Linked DNA regions of Mus musculus: region 2 is reported to be linked to region 1. The links are microRNA targets in miRTarBase. Many come from high-throughput screens and were not tested one by one. Region 1 holds a microRNA gene; the other region holds the end of a gene's coding sequence.
The links. The annotated mature microRNA mmu-miR-3473b reads GGGCUGGAGAGAUGGCUCAG and lies in region 1 at 1,896-1,915, shown strand. An mRNA with a match to its seed (bases 2 to 7 or 8) in the 3' UTR can be bound and repressed. Matches are read on the target gene's strand: a 7mer-m8 pairs with bases 2 to 8, a 7mer-A1 pairs with bases 2 to 7 and ends in A, and an 8mer does both.

Region 1 (3,407 bases):
AAAAATTGTTTTGAGATTTGTATATTACAGAATATATAGCCTTGGTGAGTCTCCACTTGAACTTTGGATGTCTTGGACTTTCAGCCAGATCCAGTCAAGACACAGACATCAGAGACTAAATCATTGGTGTGGCCTTCTTAAGGCCAACCAACTCTATTTTCCCTACCCTCCCACTCCCTTAAAAATATCTCAATGCCCATATTCAGCTTGATGAAGTTATGAAGAGTTGTTGCCCCAGTTCCCTGGGCTTTGGGGCTGTGGGGGGGCTATTATAGGTTGTCTTTCTAGAGAATATAAAAATGGTCATAATTGGAATAGGGAGAAATAGCTAGAATTGATTGAATAGTCATAATCTCATTTTGTAGAAATCTTTTTAATTGTTACTAAGTTGAAGTCATAGTTGCTTATTTTGGTACAGAATTTATTCTGATGCAAAATCAAGGTTTTCATTGGTATAAATTTCTTCTATTGACACAAAAAATTTAAAAGTATAGGGCTTAGACCCAGTCCTCCTGTAACTGTTATTATAAACTGATCTGAGATGATTAAGCCTGTGAGTTAAGGGCCAAATAGCAAATTCATGGCTCTGAGTTTATTGTTAGGGTGTTTTCAGACATTTTAATTAGAAATAGCTGAGAGTAGTTATCAGAGAACAGTCCAGATTACTTTATATAGATAGTTGATTTTCAAAAATGTAAGAAATCCACAGAATGTGATATTTAATGTTATTTATTCACTTGTTGTTGAGACAAATCTGCTCCTAACAGCTTCCCATTCCTGGATTCAAAGAAGCAACTGAGCATCTTACCTCCAGATGAGGTGATACATTGTAGCTAGGTAGCCACTGGGCAGAAAATTGTCAGTCTTTCCTGCAGACCTGTACTGTTCTTGAAAGGATACAGTTTACAGGTTAATACAGCTTAGTTCTGCTGAGATAGAATAGGGCAGTCCTTAATATTTCTGTATATCTAAGGTCTGTCAGATGATTCTGGGCCAGAAGGCTGAAGACATGCTCCATCTTCCTGACTTACAGGGGCTGTATAGGCAGGCAGCTGTCTCTACAATTTGTCTCAATTCTGGAAGTCCTGTTAGGCTTCCTATATATTTTCAGTTAATGCTGGTCATTCTCGGATTTCTGATGGGGTTGAAAAACTACTTATAGTCTCATAGTCAACCCAGGCTATTTACTTTGAGAGAATAGATTTGAGAGGATGGTTTTCAGGTGGCATACAATCTAAAGCCAGGATATAAGTCAAGATAGAATTCTAAGTCTTTTAATTTTGGATAGATGACAATGTTTGATCTTAATGGCATAAATGATGGACTGGGTATTAGGTCTATCTTATACTTTATAAATTACAAAATGGTAATAGTTGTGCTCTGTTTATATTTGAGAGAAAGGTTTTGTTTTTTTTTAATTAGAACAGAAAGGGGGAAGTGCTGTGGACGGGCCTGGTGTTGTTCTTGTGAACCAATCACCTAATGAATAAAGGAGCCAATCACTGGGAGAGTAGGCGGGACTTCCAGGTTGGAAGGACAACAAGAAGAAGCAGGAGAGAGTTAGTCCCTTTTGGAACAGGTCAGCAGAGGGGTAAGATGTAGCTGCTAGAGTTTCCCGGTATCATGGTGAATCCACAAGAATTCGCCACCAAGAAATCAGATTCAAATAAGGCTTATAAGATTAGGATTTTAAATTTTCGTTTTAAAGATTTATTTATTATTATATCTAAGTACACTGTAGCTGTCTTCAGATGCACCAGAAGAAGGTGTCAGATCTCATTACGGATGGTTGTGAGCCACCATGTGGTCGCTGGGATTTGAACTCAGGACCTCTGGAAGAGCAATCAGTGCTCTTAACCACTGAGCCATCTCTCCAGCCCAAGATTAGGTTTTAAGGGCTGGAGAGATGGCTCAGCAGTTAAGAGCACTGACTGCTCTCCCAGAGGTCCTGAGTTCAATTCTCAGCAACCACATGGTGGCTCAAAACCATCTGTAATGGGTATCTGAAGCTGTCCTCTGGTGTGTCTGAAGACAGTGACAGTGTACCCACATACATGAAATAAATAAATCAATCTTAAAAAAAAAAAGGTGAGGTTTTAATTGTTGTGCCCAGAGATTGAGTTACCATTGTTTCTGAGGAAAAAAGGAAAGAAAGAGAGAGAGAGAGAGAGAGAGAGAGAGAGAGAGAGAGAGAAGAAAGAAGAGAAACTGTGTCTCTAAACTTAATGCTATGGCTACAAATTATATTTCACCATCAAGGTGATAATTCTCAAATTCATATCTCAGCCCAAATAGATATGCTCAGCTTTCTATGTACAGACTGCCTGTGTCCACCTGTGGCCAAGAATAGCTATGAATGCAGCCACACACAAAATGCTAAACTTCCTCAAAACCAAATTTTTTAAAAATGCAATTGTACAATTCCCAAGCACAACTCTGCAGGTGACAATGGCATGTGTTAGTGTCAAAAGGCTGGATGCTCTTGACTGTTCTGCCCATGTACCTCCTTAATATCTATGCTTGGAGGTTAACTCTAAGACAGAGGGTCTGTGCCACCTACACTGACTGCCTGAGTAGAAACCCAGGTAGAGAATAATCTTTGAGCTTTCTCTCTCTTTCCTTTCCTTTCCTTTCCTTTCCTTTCCTTTCCTTTCCTTTCCTTTCCTTTCCTTTCCTTTCCTTTCCTTTCCTTTCTCCTTTCCTTTCCTTTCCTTTTTCCTTTCCTTTTTCCTTTTTCCCCTTTCCTTTCCTTTCCTTTCCTTTCCTTTCCTTTCCTTTCCTTTCCTTTCTTTTCCCTTCCTTTCCTTTCCTTTTCTTTCTTCCAGCTCACCGTTCAGGATGGACTGTGTCTCTCTAAGATTAATGTTGAAACCCACCCTGCAACACGATGCTGTAAGTGAGACTTGGGAGGGGATACGTTCATAAAGGTAGAACCCTAGAGAATTTGCTCTCATAAGAGGCCTAAGGCTGCTGTGTGTCTCTCCTGCCACCCAGGAAATGGCAAACATCCAGCAGTCTATAGCCTGAAAGAGTCTTTGGGAGATTCCAACCATGCTAGCAGGCAGACCTGCTTAGCTCCCAGAAATGTAAAAAGCAAAGTGACTTTGCTCATTAGCTACACACTTCATTGAACTTTGCCAAAGCAGCTTGAATAAACAACAGCAACAAATTGTACCAGACTTTCCTTTCAGAGTTTCGTTCCCAGCACACACATCAGACAGCTCATAACTGCCTATAGCTCAAGTTCCAGAAGATCTGATGCCTCTTCTGGCCCACAGTGGTGCCTGCAGGCTTGTGACACACACACACACACACACACACACACACACACACACACACTTCTTTAAAAAGAGACTCCTTTCCTTCATATTACAATCAAACTTTCTCAAACATGGATTCTATATTTT
Region 2 (3,407 bases), not on the chromosome of region 1:
TCCCATCTCTGCCTTGATGGGTGTATTATCCTTCTAAGTCTTGGCCATCCCTGTTCCACAATTCTCTGTGTTATACTTTAAGGACTCTTAGAGAATGAGGGAAGGAAAGCCGAAGTGGCCTGTAGTGAGCGCCCTCTTGGGTGGGTGGGTGAAAGGTGTTGTAATGGGAAGCACGAGAGATGGAGATGCAAGCCAGCCTCCCTCGGGGAGACAGTGGTTGTTTCCAATATGCAATGAGCTTTTAATGTTTATCCTTCTGGGACATCCAAAAGAGACACTGTTTAAAAAGATTCAAGATCTATGGTCTTGTGAATAGCTTCTTCCCTGGGAGGCGGCTGTGTAGAGAGGGTGTGTCTGGCCAACCTCACCATCCTCATTTCCTCTCTCCTGCTAGGACTTGGTAGCCTGGGTGACGGCTGGCTTTTTGCACATCCCTCATGCAGAAGATATCCCCAACACGGTGACTGCGGGGAACTCAGTGGGCTTCTTCCTCCGGCCGTATAACTTCTTTGACGAGGACCCCTCCTTTCATTCTGCTGACTCCATCTATTTCCGGGAGGGCCAGGATGCCACGGCCTGTGAGGTTAACCCCTTGGCTTGCCTGTCCCAGACTGCCACCTGTGCCCCCGAAATTCCTGCCTTCTCCCATGGGGGCTTTGCTTACAGAGACAATTGAACTGTTTCTAAGTATCCCTCCCTCGCTCCTGCTCAGACCATGTGCTCACTTCCCCACGCCATTAAGTGTCCCCAAGATGGACAATCTAGCTAAGAGCTGGGAAGTAGCGCAACAGCCGGGCAGTACACAGAGCAATTCGATTGAAGATCTGGTTCCTTCTGTCCCCACATCTTTGATGTCCCCTCTCTCTTCTGCTGCCCTCCTTGTCTCTCCCTCTCTGCTTGGAGCATCCTGAGCCCATGGAAACCTGATGCACAGGGACACTGAACTTTGTTGGTTGTGCCTGTACTGAGTTCCTGCCTTGGGAGAATAGCCTTGTTGGAGCCTGGAGTAATGGCTATGTTTTGTTTTGCTTTGAATATGGCTCCTTTTCCCCACCCCCACCGCACCCCCTATTTGGCTTTCATTTAAAAGCTTATGATAGCTTTGAGGACTCTGCAATGAGGATAACTCTCTAGAGACCCCCAAAGTAGGGTCTCTCTGAGTCTCTCACATCCACAGATTCTTCATCTACATCCCTTTCCTACTTAAGCCTCTTTCATTTCCATTCTCTCCCTCTCCCTCCCCGCCCCCTCTCCTTTCCTCCCTCCCCCCTCCCTCCCCTCTTCCTGGAGTTCCTGCTTGCTCATACATGCTAGGATTCCTACTCAGTCCAAAAGCGATGTCCGTCCTAAGAGTTCTCTGAGCCCTCATTCTCAAACTGCAGTCTCTTCTCCTGGACCCGAGTCTGTGGAAATCTCAAAGATGTAATGCAAAGCCTCATGGGAGAGGACCAGGCTTTTCTATCTCCTAACGTTCGTCACATATCAGGAAGGAGTAGGGCTTGTCCCTGCGGTAGCCCTGCTTTGCCCTCTTTACAAGAAGATGGAGGTGCTATGATTATGACGAATGGTTATTTTATTCTATGGCTCTGCTCCACTAATGGCTCTGGTCTCTGTGCAGTAGCCTGCAGGAGCCAGCTCGGGACAGTGAGATAGGATGGGGTCTGCCCAATCAGAAGCAGGCATGCAAATGAGCCTGAGTCTGATCTGCCTTGGTGGGACCTGTTTCAGGGTTTCTCTTTGCTGCTTGTCTTTGCTGAGACCTGGACAGGGGCTGGTACACACATGACTCAAAACAACAGATACATCATTCCCTAGCAGTCTGGCCAGCCCCGTTGTTAACTAATGTTATTACTGTAGTTAATGGAAGAAAGGCTGGAAAGATGTGTGTGCACTGTTCTTGCAAGGGGCCCAAATTCCGTTCCCAGCATCCTTATTAAGGTGCTCACAACAATCTATAACTCTATCTCCAGGAGAGCCGGTGCCCTCTTCAGGGGCACCTAAACTTAATGCACATACCTTCACACAGACACATACATATAAATACAAAATAAAAGAACTCAGCCTGGCACGGTGACACATGACTTTAATCCCAGCATTGGAAGTCAGAGGTAGACAGATCTCTGAGCATGAGTCCAGCCTGGTCTACAGAGTGAGTTCCAGGACAGCCATAGCTATACAGAGAAACCCTGTCTTGCAAAACAAAAACAAACAAACCAAAAGAGAGTTCTTTAAAGACAAAAGAAAAGCTAAAAATGAGTAGGCGATAAGTGTACATTTGTTTATTTCTGCTGCATTCCTTGAGAACTGAGTAAGACCAGTTACCTCTGAGGAGGAAGACAGCTGAGAGGGAATCAGGTTCTGCCTGCCCTTCTGAACATCATGGATTGGAACCATGTGATCATATTGCCCCGTCAAAATAAATAAGTGGGCTATACACTAACTGTCTTGTCTTTCCTTTTAAACATGCTGTGTGTGGCTTGCCTGTGTTCTTGAGACCTAGAAAAGTAGGTAGCCTGCCATACAGTCCTTGTCTTTCCTTTCTTGTATAAATTCGGAAGCAATAGCTTCCTCCATCCCCATTCTTTCTCTCGAAGGAGGGAATAATGAGAAGCAATGGAAATGGGGGCTTCTGATTGGCCAGATGCCCAGGCTAAACCAAGAGGTGAAGTGGCAGAAACAGTGTTGGGTGCTGCTCAGTTTCTGACCAGAGAGGCGACAACATTCAAGAGATCAGACACCTGGAACATTTCCCTGACTTCTCTCTGTCCAATCTAATGTTCTCCTAGAGGTTGATGTGGAACCATGGTTGGGGGGCGGGGGGGGGTAGTCAGTGAGCGGAAAGAAAGCAGACTCCAAAGATCAAGGGGGAACTCTTCAGTAAGGAGCAGGGCTAACAGTGGCTGGCTTCATTTATAACATGGTCTGGGGTGGGTAGAGAAGGATAAAGGACAAGCAGATGCTGCAGTGAGGTGGGAGCCAAAGGGCATGTGCGCTCAGTTGTGAGTTCTGACTTCACTACACCACATCCTTCCAACCTAAAGAATTCAAGTCTCCTTTATATGCCCATCTTTTTGTTCCCACCAGGACTGGCTAGTTTTATGTCAACCCTACATAAGCTAGAATCGTTGGAGCCTCGATTAAGAAAATGTCTCCATAAGACTAGGCTGTAGGCAAGCCTTTAGGACATTTTCTTAATTTGTGACTTATAGGGGAGAGCCCACTGAGGGTGGTACCATTACTGGGCTGGGTCTGTAAGAAAGGCTGAGCAAGCCGTGGGAAGCAAGCCAGCAAGCAGCACCCCTCCATGGCCTCTGCATCAGCTCCTGCCTCCAGGTCCTGCTCTGTTTGCGTTCCTGTCCTGACTTCCTTCTATGAGGGGCTGTGCTGTGAACCTGTGAGCCAAAAAA

Region 2: the mRNA of Aoc3 is a reported target of mmu-miR-3473b. Seed matches in the 3' UTR shown: 7mer-m8 at 2,132-2,138.

Annotation. Positions count from the first base shown.
Region 1 is chr10:41,668,879-41,672,285 of GRCm38, forward strand. It overlaps Mir3473b (microRNA 3473b), which reads left to right and starts at 1,861; the gene lies at 1,861-1,915. The region is part of intron 9 of Ccdc162 (coiled-coil domain containing 162); the gene reads right to left.
Region 2 is chr11:101,336,991-101,340,397 of GRCm38, forward strand. It overlaps Aoc3 (amine oxidase, copper containing 3), which reads left to right. Exons shown (of 4, transcript NM_009675.2): 4 at 395-2,440. The coding sequence ends at 676. Among named protein-coding and RNA genes, the nearest start is that of Aoc3, 8.1 kb to the left of the region's middle.